Linked DNA regions of Oryzias latipes. The protein of the gene in region 2 binds, or shares a complex with, the protein of the main gene of each other region. Links are inferred from orthologs where the notes say so. Each region holds a gene or a part of one and is shown on either strand. Other genes may lie near its edges.

Evidence for each region.
Region 1: the proteins of slc9a3 (region 2) and chp1 are in contact, whole or in part, in a cryo-EM structure (PDB 7X2U), measured with the Homo sapiens proteins. The link is inferred for Oryzias latipes from reciprocal best matches to the Homo sapiens genes SLC9A3 and CHP1. Residues at the interface, in NP_004165.2 of Homo sapiens: Tyr396, Arg397, Met398, Gln400, Glu402, Arg474, Leu475, Asn476, Glu477, Leu479, His480, Gly481, Arg482, Ala483, Phe484, Asp485, His486, Ile487, Leu488, Ser489, Ala490, Ile491, Glu492, Asp493, Ile494, Ser495, Gly496, Gln497, Asn501, Arg504; in NP_009167.1 of Homo sapiens: Arg30, Leu31, Arg34, Leu38, Lys40, Glu49, Phe51, Gln52, Arg53, Ile54, Glu56, Leu57, Ala58, Ile59, Asn60, Pro61, Leu62, Asp64, Ile66, Phe70, Phe83, Leu87, Phe90, Leu115, Phe117, Ala118, Leu121, Tyr122, Leu135, Leu139.

The regions. Positions count from the first base shown.
Region 1 is NC_019880.2:1,740,168-1,749,994, forward strand, and holds chp1 (calcineurin B homologous protein 1), read left to right. Parts: upstream 1-753; 5' UTR 754-1,080; coding exon 1,081-1,147; intron 1,148-1,849; coding exon 1,850-1,922; intron 1,923-3,617; coding exon 3,618-3,698; intron 3,699-4,387; coding exon 4,388-4,515; intron 4,516-4,592; coding exon 4,593-4,654; intron 4,655-5,105; coding exon 5,106-5,228; intron 5,229-6,479; coding exon 6,480-6,533; 3' UTR 6,534-7,338; downstream 7,339-9,827. UniProt on the Homo sapiens protein: Calcium-binding protein involved in different processes such as regulation of vesicular trafficking, plasma membrane Na(+)/H(+) exchanger and gene transcription. Involved in the constitutive exocytic membrane traffic.
Region 2 is NC_019869.2:19,312,756-19,322,646, forward strand, and holds the start of slc9a3 (sodium/hydrogen exchanger 3), read right to left. Parts: upstream 4,754-9,891; 5' UTR 4,587-4,753; coding exon 4,343-4,586; intron 1-4,342. UniProt on the Homo sapiens protein: Plasma membrane Na(+)/H(+) antiporter. Exchanges intracellular H(+) ions for extracellular Na(+) in 1:1 stoichiometry, playing a key role in salt and fluid absorption and pH homeostasis.

The DNA.
Region 1 (9,827 bases), on a different chromosome or scaffold from region 2:
TTCATTTAGATTTAGGAAATTCCTACTGTTGTACCAAGGAAAGCATGTTTGATGCAACAATCAAACTTTCCAGGTTGGGATCAATAAAGTACCTTCATCTGATCTCATCTTATTAAACATACTAAATTTAACAATATTATTACCAATTAGCAAATTGGCTTAAAATGTGCCAACAGGGTTAAAACAGTTTAGAAGATGAATGAATTAATGAAAATGTTCCATTTAGTTTTAACTCTCCTGTTCTGTCTATAGACATCAATGATTGTTTCTATTTGAAATAGAAGTGGAGTAACTGAACCATTTGGGTTTTATCTGCACTAAATAAGCAAAACAGTAAAATTTCAAAGAGAAAAAGGACTTTTAATTTTTTAAAGTTTATTCTTATTATTAATATTATTGTAATTTTATATTTTTAGAAATTCTATTTGGCCTAGATCTTAAGAGGAGGGCTAATTCAGTCCAAGTTAATAAATATAACAGACATGGAATCCTGATGAAAACAAATTAGAATTAAAAAATGATTGCCTATTAATTGTCGCATCTCCTCTTTATGTTGCCGCATTTTCCTCGAAGGGGAAAAGAGAAGCGACTTTAAACCAATTGACTGGTCCTAAAATTCTTCACTTTTTATATCTTTCATTTCTATTTTTCTTTGTTTAGTCTATTTTTGAGTTAAGATTTGATCATCTGTATGACAAAAGCTGAAAACAAAACCTTCATTTTCCTCAGGTGTTATTTCGATGCTCACCACAGGGTGGCGGCAGCGCATCTTTTCACCGTTAGCCGCCATCTATTGATACACAGAAGAAGAGGAAGAATGACAAAACTGCTCTCAGCGAGACCGAAGGAAACTTGAAAGTTACCGACGCCACAGGTCGAGTTGTACGACGGGAGCTCCGAACGCGGTTCTTTGGGCGGAACCGGACTCGTGACGCCTGTCAGACCCGCCTCAGCTGTTCGGACCCGGTGGCTTTTTCGCATTTTTTTAGTTAGCTGCTTTGCTAACTTGGACATTCGGGTTCTATCAGCTGGTTTCGTTGCGCAAGAAGAAGACCCGGTGGCGCTTCGCTGCTCTCCGTGATGGGATCCAGGGCGTCGACGTTACTTCGAGAAGAAGAAATCGAAGAAATTAAAAAAGAGACTGGCTGTAAGTTTGCGTTTTTCAGACCGTAACTGTCAGCTGAAGTGAGACGACAGTTTGGTCTCAGAGACAGATCATGATGGAGAAGAAGTGTTGTTGTTTGGAGTTTCAGCGTTTCAGTTCCGTTTTTCTCCAAGTTGTTTTCCTAGAAAAAAACAAACAGATTTAGCCAAATTATTTAGATTGCTATAATCCAATTTAGTCCAGACAGATAGTGTGAGAAGAAAAATGCATTGAACATATTCATTCTGCCGATAATTATTTTAGCCTTTTATTTGTTATTTATTGTGTATTTTCAGTGGGATTTTTAAAATGATTTTTTTATATTATAGAGTTATGGTAAAATAAGTTCCCCTTTGCTGGATCATTAAAGTTTAATTGCATTCTGATTTGACGTGAGTGGCCAACACGGAGGAATTAGGGTGTAACACCCCACAGCAGAGCTGGACTGCTACTGAAAAACCATCTGATGAAGGTCAAAGTAAGAGTTGTAAGCATGAACGGACAGTGGGATGGAGAGGGTTAACCTAGAGCTACCTTCAGTAGAGCCCAGGCTTCATCTGAAGGATCTGCTTCATGTTTAAATAAAGTTTGATTTCCAGCCTTAGGCAGAAATCAGTTTCTTACTGAACCCAGAAGGTGAGGGATAAATGTCCGTATGCGGGTTAGAAGTTGGATTCACGCTGTCGTCCCTCCTCCTCCCTGCAGTCTCCCACAGTCAGATCACTCGACTCTACAGCCGCTTCACCAGCCTGGACAAAGGGGAGAATGGCACGCTCAGGTAAACTACAACCCAAACACCCTGAAAAGCAGCTTAGACATTGGCGGGATGGCTGTGCATCAGCGGTTCGGCTTAACCTGTGGCTTCAAACCTCCGGGGCGGGCGTCCTGCTTCATTTCACACACGGCCGCTCAGTTTCTTATTGGGGGGGGGGTGCCTGATCCAGGAAAGTAGCTGCAGGTGGAGCAGGGATTTGTGGGAAAGGGCAGGAATGGACTTTGACTCAATGAAATGCTTCTCCAGGAAGTCAAAACGAGGTCAGACGTTCCACGTTCTGAGTGTTGGAACATTGTTCTGTTTGGTTCTCAGCCTGACGTCTTTGTGGTCAGGCTCAGGCCGCGTGACAGAACGATAAACCATAGATGATAATTAAGCAACAAGCAGCTGAGTTGGCTGCGAGGAGACCGGGTCAGACCGGGTCAGACCGGGTCGGCTGCAGGCCACAGGTCAGCGATTCAAGGACAGAACAAGCAAACATTTCATGGAACTCTGACTGTCCTAAGAAGCTGTTGACACATCACAAGCGTTGCTGCAGTTCTTCTCATCTGTGGTCTTCAGGCCGTGTTGATGCAACAGAATGAACAGAAACATCAAAGAACTCTGAACAACCAGGACTGTGGGTCGGTACCGACGTGGAGATCCGGTTCACGGATCAGACTAGGATATTTACTGTTTATTATATCCTCTTTGACTCGTTCCCACATGTGTCTTTTACTGGATGTATGAAATGAAACTAATAATTAGCATCATCTATACCTTTTTTATTTAGAACAGGGGACCGAAATCAACAGAACACAAAGATTTAGAAAGAAATGGTTTCAGCAAAAGATTCTCCGTCATTTTCCTGCTTCACTTCAGCAGGAGACCAAACCTAAACATCGCCGTCGTTTCGGATCTTTTAACAACAAATCCTGAAAATGTTCTCCACAGTTTTCCTGCTGTCTGCAGCTCCCGTAGATCCACGAGAAGATAAAACTAGAAAAAACTCTCTGTCCTTTTAGAAAATAAAAACACTTTAGAACATGTAACAGACGTTTTCGGTTCGGCTTCTCCATCACGCTAGCAGACCGTCACATGACGTGACACGAGTCACGCCGTTGATCCTGAGATCCTTATTAAAATATTTTTAATTAAAAAGTCTTTATTTTTTTACATTAAAATGATCCACTTTTTCTTTCTTTCCAGAACTTGTTTCACTAAACCGAACTTCAAATAAAAACACTCCGTAGTTTTACTTTGACAATAACAACCTTCACAAACACTTTATTTTGAAAATGTATATTTACTTCCTGTTTGTTTACATTATTCTGCAACTATAGAGTGATAATTACATTTTCTGAAGTGTATTTTTTTACCGTGCTTTCCAATATTTCTAAAGATCATGAATCCCTGATCTCAAACATCACAAATATTTGTTTTTGTCTGGAATAGACGGCGAGTATCCGAGTATTCGAATACTCAAAAGTCCTCCCCATAAGTGACTTTGGAAGTGAAAGAATAAAAATCTCTTTATTCCACTATAAAAGTTTTAACTCTGAGGAGCTGAACTTTAATTTGAGACTAAAGTGTCACGCCTGATTTGAGAGGCTTGTTAAGTTCAGTTTTACAGTAACTTCATCTTAAAAACCTCCTCTGAAGTGCGTGTGATGTCATTTCCTGCCGTCTTTCACGGTGACCTTGCTCTGACGTCTGCAGCCGAGAGGATTTCCAGAGGATCCCGGAGCTGGCCATCAACCCTCTGGGAGACCGAATCATCAACGCCTTCTTCCCCGACGGGTGAGTCTGGACTTTGTGACGATGGCGGGCATACTTTAAGAAAATTAGGCTTTAAATTGAATTTTTTCGTCTCTCTTTTTTCAAATCTGTGTGAATCCATGCAACGGAAAATAAATGCAGTTTGAAAAAGATCGTATTTGTGACTTGGCAAATATGCTGCTTCTAGCTCCGCCCCTTTTTGATCCTCCACCTGCAGACCAACAGATCCATGAACGTCTTTGTTTTCCACGTCTGAGCTGGAATCTGGATCAGAACTGGACGACTGGATAGCTCTGACATTGCTGCCATTTTTGTTGCATGGCTAATGTTAGCTTGGGGGGGGGGGGGGTGAGGGCTGTAAGCTAGAGGGAGAGAGTGTAAACATAAGGATGTCGGGAAATAGACCAGCCCAACTCGGAGGTGAATTTCTAATGAACTCCCGTCGCTCTGCAGAAACTACGTCCTAGAAAAGGTTTTTCTCATTAAAACACTTTAAAGATCCGTCAAAGTGATGGCAGTGGGACTTCAAAGCTAAAAAAAGAGCAGATGTGGTCGGGTTCCATGATTTGTGTGGGTTTTAACTGCAGCCCGGGTTTGTGTCGGCTTTAGGTTTCTGTTTTCTGGCTCAGACTGGTTTGTTTTTGTCCTGGTTTGTGCCTCGGTGTCGGGTTTCCCGCCCCGTTTCTGAGCTGAACCGACGGGTTTTTCAGAGAGGATCAGGTGAACTTCAGAGGCTTCATGCGGACCCTGGCTCACTTCCGGCCGGTCGAGGACAACGAGAAGAACAAGAACCTGTCCAACACGGAGCCGCTCAACAGCCGCACAAACAAACTGCACTGTGAGTCCGCCCCTCCCTCACAGACGCCCACCCCCTGGACCTTCACCGCATTGATGTGCTGATGCTTTTCTCCACAGTTGCCTTCCAGCTGTACGACCTGGACCGGGATGACAAAATCTCTCGGGACGAGTTGCTGCAGGTGGGAGCCGCTTTAGCCCACGGAGACACCCGGGTTTGTTACGTAGGGGGGGGGGGGGGGGGGGGGGGGGGGGGGCGGTTTGGGTTAAATGTGCAGCTCCAGGCGCAGCTGGCTGGACCGGCCCTGTTGTGTAACGTTTGCTCTGCAGACTTTGGCCTCGTGCAGATAATGCCGCCGTCCTCCGGTCCGTCTGGCTCCTCCCCGGTGGTGACCTGTAATTGCTGTGAGCTCGCGGTTACGTGACTCGCACAAATACCTTGTTTTGATCAAAACAGCAGAGCGTCACCTGATTCTGGTTGTTTGTGAGCCGTTCCACTAAACGCTCTGTTATTTAGAATCATTCCAGCAGAAAAGCTGCAAATGAGTGTTTCTGCAGAACACATCATCAGCGCTTGTTTGGATCACAGCGGCCGTGTCCTCGCGGTCGTCCTCAGCCGTTTGCTGTCTCCAGGTGCTGCGGATGATGGTGGGCGTGAACATCTCAGACGAGCAGCTGGGCAGCATCGCCGACAGGACCATCCAGGAGGCGGACACCAACGGAGACGGATGCATCTCCTTCACCGAGTTCATCAAGGTTTGCAGCTCCGCCCACATTCCAGGAACGTGAACACGATGGAGAATCAGGGCCACCAGGAAACAGGAAAATGGGAATAAAGTCATTAAAAAAAGTAACAATTCTGTGAGATGGAAATTGTACATTTATATTTCAAAACGTTGTAATTTTACAAAGAAAAAGTCTTGTTTTAACAAAAAAATTACAGAAATGAGGAACGTCGAAAGATCAGGAAAAGCCAAAATTCTACGGGAATAAAATTATACATTTAAGTTGCAATTTTACAAGACAAAAAAACAAAGTTGTACATTTATTTTAAAAAGTTAAGGCAGATTCTGTACAATTCTTGTGCAGTGAAGCTTTAAAGCAAAATGAAACATTTTAATTCTGAAAAAACGTGAATTTTCTTTGCCGAGTTATATTTTTGAAGCATAAATTTATTATTTCATTCTTGTAATTAACATTTTTCTCATAACTGTATGACTTTATTCTCATATTTGTGTGTTGTGGTGCCTCTCATAGTCCATCGTACATAAATTTGTGGAGGTTTTCAAAAATATATTTGCATTTGTAGCTTTAGATCCTGATCTCCCTTCTAAAATTCTCCTCTGTTTTTCAGTGCCGTTTAAACACAAAGGTAATGTCTAACGTAATGTTAATTTTTAACAGATAATCAGAATAAACTTGGCCTGAAACTGCAACCTGCCTCTCCCTGTGAAAACAACCTGCAGTTCATCGAGTGACCACCAGGCGGCTCGTTAAACTTTCTCTACAGTTTAACAGGTCAAATGTCAGCAGGTGGCATCAAACTTAAAGTCGACATTTTTAAAACAGCTAAAGTAAAAATCCCAGTGAATTCTGCAGCTCTTTTCGTCCCATATTAGTTTGAGCTAAAATGCTAACGTTAGATTTGGACAAACATGAGGGGGAGTGTTTTATTAAATCTACCAGAACGGGCCGCCAACACCGTGACCTTTTTGTTTCCGTGAGGTGTTGACACAAACAATGTGTCTGGATGTCGTCTGTGTTTGGTGAGTTCTTGTCCTTCTGGTTGAGGACGATCTGGGTCAGGGTTCCCCAAATCCAGGCCTACGTGTTTTCCAACCAACCTGCCATTAAAGCTCCTTATTGGCTAAACACACCTGATCCAGGTAATCAGCAGCAAATCAGGCAGGGCCCTCATGACCTGGATTTGGGGACCCCTGGTCTGGGGGATTCCTTCCAGCATCGGTCCTGCAGGTCTCACATCCTTGTTTTTTTTTGTTTCCTCAGGTCTTGGAGAAAGTGGACGTGGAGCAGAAGATGAGCATCCGGTTCCTGCACTAACTCTTTCTTTTGTTTTACTTCTTAAAATGAGTCCAAACTTTTTTTTTCCTCCATTGATGCCAGAAAAATGACTTCATCCAGCGCCTCAGATGGCTGCCACTGCTCCCCCATTACCGCAGTAAATCTCCCGCCTTTGCACTGCTTCGCTAACGTAGGGAAACGTGTCAGTGTGTTTCCCACCATGCAGCATCATAGAAACAGCTTTTCAGTGGGCATGAGATCAAGAACGTCTTCACCTTTCAGACGCAGTTCACTCCTGCTGCTCACGTTTCACACGCTTCTGTATTTGTATGCAGCAGTTCAGACAGCAGCACCATTTCCAAATCAAAGCCAGCCGCTGGAGTGTCTTTGATTCTGTAAAATGTCGGCTCTAGTTTGTTCTCATGTAAAACAATAAGTGATTTATTCCGGTTGTTGTTGGTTAACCAAAGCCGAACCCGCTGACGTCAGTATGAGCATAGGAGTCTTGAATTCACGCCTGACAGCCGCTGGACTTCATGTCAGAAGGATTTAACGCGTTTTCCCGCTGTGTAACTGCTGGATCTGATGCATAAAACGGTTTTCCTTTTTCCTGTTTCAAGTGCAAATGAGGAAAAAACACTATTTTATTTATTTCCCATCTTATCTGCTCCAGATCTGCTTTGTGTCACGTGGCATTCGAACTTTAAATACGATGTAATCTATAATGTCAGCCAAATCCTCTGGAGGATGAAAGCGTTATTAAACCAAAATCAGCTGTTATTTGTATTGTATGTTGATATTAAAGTGATTTCTGAATCAATTTGAATAAACAAGGTGCCATTCATCTGGTTGTGTTGTTTTTAACAATATTTCATGTGCACAAATATGTAGAAAAGATGCGTAATCTGTTGGTTAAATCGAAGCTAAACAATGAACTAAAATTATAAAGGTTATTATTTTAGCATAATTGTGCTGCAATAACTCAAGAGGACGGATGGGAGGAAGTTGATTTACTTCCGGGGCGGGGCTTACATTTGATGGACAGCTTCCCGCTCCAATCCCAGGGTCCTCCTGTTGGCTCGTAGCCGCGGAGCAAAGATGGCGTAGAGCGGAGGGAGCGGGACCTCCTTCTCCCCCCACCCCCCCGTCTTTGGCGTGAACTTGGGGGAGAGAAGGAGGTTCAGTGAGTTTTATTTTTTATTTTTTTACGGAGGTTCCTCGGCGGCGCAGCTCTGCCTCCGAATAATCCCGTCAACCCCGGTTTCCTCCCACCCCGGCCTGGCGCCACAGAGGAGGCAGCCCGGCTTTGTTTACCCCCGCGAGAGGCTCGGAGCTCGGACCAAACGTCTGCGTCTCATCGGATCATCGACTCATCCAAGGTCAGAGGCTCGTGCTTCCCGCCTTTCACTCGACCTTAACCCGCCTTTCCCCGCAGCTTCGCCGTTTCTGCCCATTGGGTCTGTTTTTGTAGCCCATTTTTGAACACTTTACCGTCTTTTATGTCTAAATTATACTTTAATTATGTTTTTTTTGTATAAAAGGTGATGCTGAAATAGCAAAAATACAAATAATTAAGCTTTTGCAGTCTATTCAAATGGAATCAATGTAGAAACGCTTGAGCTTTTAAAAGTAAAAAATGCGGATAATTTAATTATTACATTTATGATTTTAAGATCCACTCCTATAAATATCGTATTATTTGTGTTTGAAAATGTTTTTGTAGAATTTTTTTGATGCAAGTTATTTATATCGCTGTTTGAAGCTCAAAAATGGCAGTTCTTAGTATTTTCTTTATTTCGATTGTTGTGAATCAGGAGCAGACGGAAAAAATGCTGTTTAAACATATATTTGTGACGTAGAAAATACGGTGGGCGGGGCCACAACCTCCCTCCTCGGCTCCTTTTTAATCCCCCTGCAGACAAAATGTTTTTTTTGTTTTCCTCGTCTGAACTGGAATCTGGATCAGATCAGATAGGTCTGGATCTCCATCGTTGTTGCGGTGCTAATGTTAGCTTGAGGGGCTGTAAGCTAGCAGTGTAAAGGGAAGGATGTCGGGAAGCAGGGGCAGGCTTACCCCTCCCACACCTCAGAGGTGAATTTCTAATGAACTCCTGCTGCTCTGCAGAAACTTTGTCCAAGAACATATTGCCTAAAAAAGGCATCATCTTAATGAGAAAAAAAGAAAATAGATCAAAAGATGGTCGGAGTGGGACTTAAAGGCATAGGAAAAATAAAACATTTGTCAAAAGAGGATCAGGTTTTCATTAAAATGTTTGAGTGATAATTTCTTCTTCTGAGGTGTTTTTAGTTGAACTGAACTCCTGCTTTTGAACCATAAACTCCAGGCGGCGGAGAGGTGAAGCTGAACCGGAGACATGTGTGCCTTCAGAACAGACCCAGCACCACCGCCGTGTCCTCCACCCCTCACAGAGGAGCCCACAGGACCCCAGCAGCTGTCTGGATGACCTCCTCCTCTACGTGGGCTCTCCTCGCCACTGGTGATGGCTCCTCCACGCCATCGCCTCTCGTTCGGACCCAGGTCTTCAGCCCCATCCGCAAAGAGCGGCGGTAAATGTTAGGAGATGGCGTGAGATCAGGCTAAAGATTCAACACACATTCACCGTTTCTCTTTTGTTTTGTTGCCTTTTTCTTATAAAATGAAAAAGGAAACCCATCAGATCCAAGCAGTCGGACGGGAAGCTCCACATCCGTTCCTTCTTATTTTTGTAAATAAAGTTTAGACACGAGAAACTGTAGCAAAGATGGAGTTCTGTGATGCGATCGAGTCACTGCTTCTTCCTTTCCTTTGTGGGTTTGTGCTACCTCACAGCCACAGCCGGTCCAGCAGCATCCAGGAAGTCCGGCGGAGCTTCGATTTGATCAAGTTCAGAGAAGATCCGCCACTTTCCTCATCATTGTCTGCATGCGTAGAGCCGGATTAGGCGGCAGCATCCATCGTCTCTGATGCAGTTTACAGTCTTTCCCTCCAAACACACGACGTCCTGAGCGCGCTGAGGGGGCCAGTCTGCCCGTTTTCATTTCTTTAGGACTGACGGTCATCAATCATAAGAAATAAAACAAAAGAAGAAAATCTCTCTTTACCGGGATCTGTGCAATATTTGATCTAAACTGTCATGTTGACCAACATGTATATTGTATAAACAAGTGACAAGTTGTTTGAAAGCAACAAAATCACCAATGTCTTCCATTAAGAGATGTATAGACTCATGTGCATTAGCTTCTTTAGCAGTGGTGCCAATATTTATCGTAGCCATGCATGACCAGTAGTGACGCTTGCTTCATGAAGAGTCTTAGCCCAATCGGGTTTCTGAG
Region 2 (9,891 bases):
GAAGAATACTTAAATTAAATTCCCTGAAGGACTTTCTTTTATTAATCTTTCGTCATTTTCTTTGGCATCCTTGCAGGATCTGACATTCCTTTGTGTAAAATACCACAAAGAGGCATCTCTCAGTTCAGGATGGTAAAAGGACAGTTTCTGAATGTTAGTGCTCAGATTTCATTTTATTGGGTGGAGGTTCAGACTGTTATTTTTAACCTGGTCTTTGTTTTTTAAACTAATAAAAAGTGTGTAATTTATAACTCAATTGTCAACAAATACGGTAAATCAGAAAAAAAAAGTCAGTGTTAAATCTGCTTTCCATTAAAAGGTTTTATTAAAGTATTTTTTTTAAATACAACAATCTTTATTTTCAGAATATTCTTTGTTTCAATTCCATTTGGAATAATATGGATCAAAGTCACTGCAAGTCATTAAACTACAAATCTGCAGATAACAGCTAATTTTATTTATTACTTTTTATTTTGTCTTCACAACAGTCATCAAAGATATGTTTGCGGGAAAAACTAAAAATGAAATCTTGTTTCTTTCTTAGTTAGTTAAAAGGAAAAGTTCATGTATGTACCTTTTTTTCCAAGCTTTACTCCTATTCTGATCCAGAATTCAAATTTTCTGCTATAGTTCTTAAAATATTTATATTTTTTTAAATAATTTGACCCATAAAGATATTTTTTTTCAAACTTAAAAATAAATCTTCCTTCACTTTTCTTTGGATGACAACTCCTCTTTGTCTAATCTGAAGCTTGCAGGTTTTGTTTTCCCCCCCAATTATGGCAGAATTTGATATTTCCTGTTCTTCTTAGCTACAATATCGCGTTCAAACTTCTTCCTTCAGGTCTACCCAGACCGATTCTGGATGAGAGTTCTAAATGTTCACAATAACTTAAGTAAATGACAGCCTAAATAGTAATTCACTCAATAGAAGATGAAGTCAACTATGAATGCAGACCAGTGTGTGTCTTTAAAACGCCTAAAAAGGTTTCTGATTCATCCCAGAATGGCACTAAAATCTTGTTTTTACTCTTAAGCTGAAATAAATGTTCCCAACCTTATCTGCACAAGTAGCAATTTTATTAATAGTAATTTTAATGTTTGCTTTTCACTTCTAAATCAATCTTTAGATTATTTGTTTGAATGCACTTTAGTGGGAAACTGCTGCATCAGGAAGTTTTTACAGAACATCAAGGTTTACTTATTACACTACAAAATATTTCATAATTCAAACCAGACCCTGCAGGTTCACTGAACGGCTCAAACGATGACATCTAGTGGCTCAAAGTGTCAATTGCTGTAAAAATCCAGGTATTTCAGGTCATCAATGAGAATAAAAAGAATTTGGTTTTGGATTTCTTTAAACATACCGGTATGTCAATTTTTTTTATTTTTACATATTTCCACACCTCTAAAAATAGTAAAATAGTTTGAATTTGAACAGAAAACAGAATTGCAACTTTTTCTAGTGACCTGTCAGATTATTAATAATAATAATAATATTGATACTTTATTCATCCCACAATCGGAAATTCTTCTCCGCATTTGATCCATCCCCTGGGGCAGCGGTGAGCTGCAGCTGAACCGTGCTTGGGAGGCAGTAGCATTAAGGGTCTTGCCCAAGGGCCCCCACTGGGTGATGTTAATTGCTCACCATTGATATGGTAATTGCCTCCAGTACCATTATTTATTCAATTTAATCGAACCCTGGATTCCTGCATGACAGCCCTCTACCTTACCAACCAGGCTACCTAGCCGATTCTAGATTCTCATCCAAATGAAGCTGCCCTGACCCGGACCGGGGTTCTGCAGGACGACTGAAGAAGGAACCGAGCGGAACACCTGTATCACGTGGAGCGTGGTCCCATATTTATGCCAGTAAATGTCAATGTCGTGCACGCCCCTTCATTTACATTGTCCACATGGCTGTGACTCATTTACACCTGTTGTGTATACAGGAATGGCCACTGCCAGTGTTTTGTAAAGACAGCAGCACAAGTTTGGCAGCTGGGCTGATACTCGGGGAGGTCAGATTGTCCTTTAATGTTCGGCTGTGACCCAAGTTTTCATGTCCCTTGTTGGTGTCACCCCATAACATTTAGAATGCTTCACCATCTTCGGGCTAAACTGAGGACTAAAGGGGAGGAGCTTCATATTTGCCCTCCAGACCTTAGAGTCATGTTCAAAGCAAATTCTGTCCTCAGGACTTTCAATTTTCTTTTAGAATCACAGGAAAACAAAGACAAAAACAAAATCTGAAAAGGAAAGTCTGTGAATTTTGTCGAGTATTTAGAACTGGATTTTTCAACCAATAGATCGTCAGGTGTGGCATGAGAAATTGTCTAATTTTAAAGAATTTGGGGGAAAACATTTATCATTGCAGGGATATCGCCTCTATGTTCATCCAAACGTGCCCAGGTTTCACATTGAGCAGAATTAAGCATAACGGATCATCGTTTTCTTTGTGTTTATTTAATTCTTATTCCAGACCCTTCAGAGCTTCCTTTTATTTTGTTGTATTTTTAGTTGGTGGTGCACCATGTGATTTTTATCAAGGAAAAAGTTTACCTTGACCCAAAAAGATTGAAAAACACTGATTTAGAAGACAGGAAGAGAACATCCCAGTCAAAAAACTCTCTTGAAGAGCGTTTCTGCTGTTCAGTTGGATTTGAGTTCCGCTTTTTTTTTCCTTTATCCATCACACCCTGTTTAAGATGCCAACAACAGCTGGTTCGGGTTCTTTTCTTCTGAACCTCTTCTTAGCTTAAAGGAGCTGCCCCAGTAACACCAGAGGATGAGTCGTTGATCACTCCCTGCTAAGTTTACCTCTTAACATCAACTCTTCACAAACCCCACCTGACTGATCTGACCAGCAGGAGGTGTGTGTGTGTGGGGGGGGGGGACCTTTGAGTGTCACCCCATTAACCTACTTTGTTTACTCCTGGAAGGAGGATCCATATTCTTGCTTGGCCATTCCTTACAGGCAAGTTCACCTGACTGGACTTTTCTGACCTGCATCATCTGAATCCATCACCTGACCTGGCTTTTGTTTGTATTTGGGGCATTAGTTTAACCCCTTGTTTCAGGCAGTCTTTCAAAACCCTTCAAATTTGCTGAACTCCTGAAGCTGGGTCGGTTCCGACAGGTGGGTGGGAGAGATGTTGGCCCTGAGATGTATTGTTGTTTTAATCGGGTTTGTGGATGTCACTTTTCTCATCACTGCTTTCAGCTTTGATTGTTTGTAACATTTCTAAATGTTTCACCAGAGTTATGCAGAATAAAATGATTATGTTGCTTTGTTGTCTGCTGCAGGTACGGTTCACTCACACGAAACTATAAAAATAACAACTGTTATGCTTTTATGAAATTATTTTATAGTAATAAAAAAGGTTGTTGTTGTAAAGTATATTTTTAGTCTTTGTCACAAATTAATCTAACTAGTTTTAGTTCAAAGTTTTACCTTTAAAAATATTCTATCATAGAATTTTTTTGACATTTAAAATAAGTTAATAGATCATTTCTTTAAATGGGTTTTAAGACATACATATTTTAGGAACATATTACATATATTCTAAAATTTAGTACATTATATATATATATATATATATATATCATTTTTTTATTTTTAAGAATTTGATAACACTTGAACTGTTGCTTGAGGAGAAAGATCTCATTAAAGTTTTAGTAAGAAAATCTCTGGATTTAGAATGACCTTTATATGAAAATAATCGTGGAGAACACTCCTCGAAATCTAATATGCATTCACTTGAGCTCCAAGATTTTTGCTTTCTAGCTCAGTCTGTAATCCTACACTCTTTGCTCGTCTAGTTTTTTCCCATCTGCAGACTATGTCAGCGTGAATACAGGTCAGTGGAGAACATACACCACTTCAGAGCAAACCCTGATGTCCTCAAAAGATTTTTTAAGACTACCCTTATAGTGCGTCTGAATGAATCAATCAAATTTTGAACATTTTTAGCAAGCAAAAAATTCAACTTTTGATCTGGGTTGCTGCCATTTTCTCTTTTAATTTGAGAGACAGCGCAGAACAGTTCTCATGTAAAAACCTCTGAAGCCTTCAAATGAAACCAGAAGGGAAATACGTCTTCCCACTTCAGATAAAGACTCTCAGTTCCTACCCTTTCTAATGAAAGTCTGAATTGTCTGCTGCTTGGATAGTTTCTGCAATTGTACAAGCTTTTTTTAAATAAGAAAAATAAAATAAATCACTAAATCAGTTACCTGCTGCTTCAAAAAAGCCACAAAAATTATCTGTCATTTAGGAGGTGCTGATGCCTTCAGGATCCCTAAAGGTCAAGACCCATCAGAAATTGAGACTCACCCAGTTTGCAAAGCCAACAGACCAGGATCCACAGCGCCACCAGGTATGGCTGGGAGACGTGGGACCACTTCCAGGATACAATGGGTAGCGTGGTGATGACCGGTGTTTCGTGTCCAGTGCTGGATGTTGCATTACTGGGGCTCTGTGCGGTGTCATGGACCGGGGCCTCATTGGCTGAACTCAGACTTCTGGACATGACCACCAACAGGCAGACAAAAAACACAAATCCCCGTTTCCCCCCCATGGTCTCAAAATGCTTAAAAAAGTCCCCACAAACTCAGGAAGTTGTTAGTTTAACCATATGGAGGTCAGACAGCAGCTCCCACTACTTTCCACATCTCGATCATAATCCGTTTCTTCAGTCATCTACATCTTCAACAAACTAGAAGTTGTCAGGTTGTTCTGCTCTGCCTGTCAGGGATGCAGGTTTTACTGTAGGTGAGGCTCAACCCATTCTGATGCTGCTCTGGCTCCTCCCACTCTATTCCTGACCAGCTTGTTTAGCCACTTTCCTCAAAGAGGGACTTGATGCTCAGTGACTGTATTTCCAGCACCGTCTGACCTTCCAGTGAGACGCAATTAAATGATATAGAAGAACCCAGTTATTTCCACAACACTGCAGTTCTTGTGTCAACTGTGTTTGAGTGTGAAGTGTCCTAATACACTCTTTACACGCCACTTTTTGCTATTTACTCACGGTTTCTGGCTGAGAAATTTCTCAGAGCAGGTGACTCCACCAATTACCAATTAAGCATATGTTTAAAAACGTGGTCACTGATGAGAAAACCAGCAGAGATGACGGCAGCAAAAACAAAGTGCTAATTGCTTTATAAAATTCTTGACACTATATGAAGAAGTTCTTGCTCTGGAATCAATGCCAAAACAAACACAGGCTTTTCTGAGCAGGTCAGACTTGAGTCCAACACCTAAGAACCAACTTGCCTCAAATGTCCTTTAACCCTTGTGCTATCCTATGGGGTCCAGATGACCCAATCCTCACATTGACGTGTTCTCCCTACCATGACAAAGGTGGATAAAGGAGAAGAGGATTTCGTGTTATCCATGGACACCAGTGAAGATCACAAATCATTGAAGAAAAAAGATTTTGGGGTCTAGATGACCCCACTCCCAGTGTTAGAGTGCCTAAGATAGCACAAGGGTTAGGGTATAAAAGAATCTCTGTTTCATATGAGCTGAGAAGATAACATTAAAATTTACATCCTTAATTTAAAAAGAAAAAAAATCACTGAGGATCCACTTTAAACAGGCACCAATGGTTCGGCCAATGAAAGAGACCCACTTCAATGAAAACTGTGTTCTTGTGGTATTTTTCTGATGGTGGAGGACATATAAAAGAAAATTAAAGCTTAAAATGGCATTTATGTGTATTACTTTATTCAAATCGTGAATCCGGATGTAAATGACGACACAGATCTTTTGATTTTGCTTATTCTTTTCATATTCCAGCATCTTTTAACTTCAAGTAATCTTTGTGACGTGTGGATTAAGAGTTTGAATCTGTAACATAATTTCACAGTTTTTAAAATTAATTGCAGATTTTTGTCTCAAATATGAAACCAAGAAATTATTTTGAAATAATTCATTTTTCACCCTATCATCTTGTTCAATAGATAGGGTTGATTAAACAGGGTCATGTCAGGTGACCCAATAAAACTTTATTGATCCAACCTCTAACAGCGTCTTCCAAAGAAAAAGATTATTTCCTTTAACTCCTTATTTCTCAGTTTCAAACATTATATTTTTACTTCAGTCTAATCTTATGAACGACAAGCCCAACGTTTCTGCTTGAAGTGATTCATTTCTGGAAGGACAAATGTTGCAAGTGATGAGGCAAATCCCAGAGACATCGGGTGAAAGATGAAAGAAACGAGTACGGAAAATGATTTGCCCCATTAGTCTGCTTTATTGGAAACCAGCACCTGCATCCATCAGCGCGCTGTTGAGCCTTCATCCCCTCTGTTGTGTTTAGGTGACAGAAACCAAAGAATGACCCTGAGTTTCAATGATCACGTTCTGTCCTGGGACCTTTTGTAATCCAGGCTTTTCCTTCCAGCTGGAAAATCATCATGTAAGTCTGAATAAATATATTTAATTTCTTTTAAATAGAAAACAATTTTTACATAATTAGGTTAGGGCAAAGTGCATCACTAGAAATTTAGTTTTTAGCCTAAAAATGTGCAGATTAAACATGATTATTTGGTTTAGAATTTCCTGTAGTTTGATCATTTCTAGTTTCTGCTCATCTTCTTCTTCCTTTTCTTTCTGGCCCTGTGAACATTGGTGACCTGTCCAGGGTGTTCCCCATCTTCGCCAACCAGTGGCTGGGATAGCAGTCCTGTGATCCCGAAGGGGTTTCAGCTGTTTCGGTAAATGGATGGACGAGATATCATCATCATCATCATCATCATTTATTTATTTATTTATAAAACACCGTCCACCACCAGCCAAGGAGGCCCAAAGTGCAGTAGACAGGGAAAACAAAACATTGCACAATCATAAAACGTAAAAGAATAAAAAGCATAAAAGCAAATTAAAACATTGTTGAGTCATAAAACATAAAAAGTATACCAACTGTCATGGTAACCCCGGGAGTCCTCTCCCCCCTTCCTTTGTTTCCACTGATTGGACCCAGCTGCCGGCACTTCCGTCATCAACCCCGCAGTATATCAGATGGCCTAGTCTAGTAGTCATCGCCAGTTTGTTGCCAACTATGGTGAAGTACCTGGTCTCATGTGTTCCTCGTTTGGTTCATGAAACTCTCGTTGTCTCTGAACCCGTTACTCAAGTTACCCTTCCTGTCTCTAGGACAAGCAACATCCACCAAGTGCCTGCCTGGGTCCAACTCTCGTCAAGATCCCTCAAGCCACCACAACATCAAGACCTCCAGCCACGCCACGACCTCCAGCCTTGCTCCGTCAGTGATCCGCAAGGTCCCCACTCAACTCGCCATGAAAATCTCAAGACAAAGACACCAGAATTTTAATAAAATATATGATAATAAAAAGATACAGATTTTCTTTCTGAAATTCATCATTGAAGAATCCAAAAGGTATTTTGTGTTAAATTAATTTAAAAAAAAGGCCAGATCTGCACATTCAAATAGAAGTCATTCTTTTGTTCAAACAACAATGAAGTAAAGCTTCAGCATTAAGAAACTCAGAAAGTTATCAAAGTTTAAACAAACAAGCATGAATTTTTTTCAGATTCTCAATGGTGAGGCCCTTTGTCTAAAGACAGCACGATTCCTGGTTTTAGATTGCTGAATCATTTTGTCTCCTTTGACACCATCAAAGCACTTGAGCTGTCATGTTGACAGTGAATCAGCTGCCGAGCCGTGTCATCCTCACGGTGATGTGTAAGGTCACCTCCAATGAGCGGGGGGTCTTTCTTCCATGGAAGCTACAAAAGGATTCAGGTTCTTTGCCTTTTCTATATAAAAACACAATTCATGAATCTTTTGTTTTTGGTATGACACTTTTTAGGTTTGCAGAGATGCCAAGAAAGGTTATGTGAGGATAAACTAGAAAAACTGCCTTTCCTACAGAGAACAAACATGAATGCTGACAGCTAAAACTGAATATGCTGAAAGACTACCAGAAACTTAGATGCTAAAATCATTTTCTTCAAGTTACTTGCCTGATGAATACATTTATATCATATATCAAATATCATATTTTATTATATTTTATCATAAATATTTATTCTTCAATCTTTTTATGTTTTATGATGTTTTATCACATCATTTTATCATTTTATTTGCTTAATCTAGAATTTTTAGTCTTGTATTTTATGACACTTTATCATATACATATATGTTTAATCTAGAATTTTACTTGTATACTTTTTATATTTTACCATTTATTTTATTAGGCTCATGTAAGAGAGGCCGACTCAGTTTGTACATTCAAAGCTAGACTTAAAACATTCCTCTTTGGACAGGCTTATTGTCAGACTAGTTAGTATTTAGAGATTATTTAACTTAATGTTAATTTGTTTAAATTAAACTTAATAACTTTTTCCTTTAAAAGGCTGCTAGAAGTTGAAGCTGGGGTAACTATGGTGCTCCGGGGTTCTGTCCTCTTTTCTTTTCTACTTCTACGCTTCCTCTCCTCTATTCTTGATCATAATTTATCATTTAGTTCTCCATGCCTCTGTTTGGTACAGTGCGATTCATGTATTGTCCCTCTTTTCCTCTCCCCTCCTGGGGAGTGGGAGTGCTTCCAGACTCCTGTTGGCTCATCTGTGCTCCAGTTCCTGACCGTCTACCTCGTCTCTGCTCCCGCTCCTACACCTGGCTGTGGATCCTGCCTCTGGCTCATCTCTGGCTCGTCTCTGCTCTGTACCTGGCCGTGTACCTCGTCTCTGCTCCTGCTCCTACACCTGGCTGTGGTTCCTGTCTCCGGCTCGACTCGCGCCCTTGACTGTCCCCACAACCACGGCTGAAGATCGTCTGCTGGACTTTTATATATATATATATATATATATATATATATATATATATATATATATATATATATATATGTAGTTGTAGATTTAGATAAGTTAATTCTTCTCTAAGAGTTCTGGTAAATCGCCTGTCTGTCCTGGGGGAGGATCCCTCCTTCATGTGGGCACCCCTGAGGTTTCTTCGTTTTTTCCGGAATCCGGTTTTTTTGGGAGTTTTTCCTTACCGTGAAGGGGGGTCTAAGGGCAGGGATGCCAGTATAGCTTAGTCAGTTTGTTAGTTCATTTTAGTATTTTCCTATTGAACTCTTTGTATTCGTGATCCTTTTAAGTTCATGTTTTACTTCGAAGCCCATCGAGACGACTGTTGTTGTGATTTTGGGCTATACAAATAAAATTGAATTGAATTGAATTGAATAGACTGTTTACGAGTGTTTTCTCACCCTTGGCTGGGGTATTTGGGTTTTATACTGACACCCCTGCCAATAGGAGGACAGGGCAGACGGCGCCTTCTGGTTTCTCTGGTTTATCTTTATTTATTTATTTATTTTCCCACTGGTGTTTGTCTTTGTGTATTTTATTGTGTGGGGCTAATTTAATGTATCTTATTGTATTTTATTGCATTTGATTTTGTTTTTATGTACAGCACCTTGAGCTGTCTTTGCTGTCATGAAAGGTGCTATATAAATAAAATTAATTTGAATTTGAATTTATTTAAAAAGCAACAGAAAAGAAAACATTTATTAGAAAATATTTAGTAATATAAAACCTGCAAAATTAAATGTTTAAGGTTAAATTAGCTCCAAAAGTCAACTTATTTCATATTTAAAACCTGCTTTTTCGAGGGCAGGGTCCTGGGGTTAATGGCGTCTACCCACATACTGTTGGGTGGAGGTGGAGAATACCCTGCACAGTTTGCTGGTTCGCTGTATGGTCACACAGAAACCATACACACACTCGTACACATGTAAACTTTCATTACAAACAGGCACCTTCCCAAAACAAAGAAAAAATCCCAAAAGTAATTCCAATATATGTAAATGGAGAAAAACAAATAATAACAAATTACAGACCCGATTCTCTTC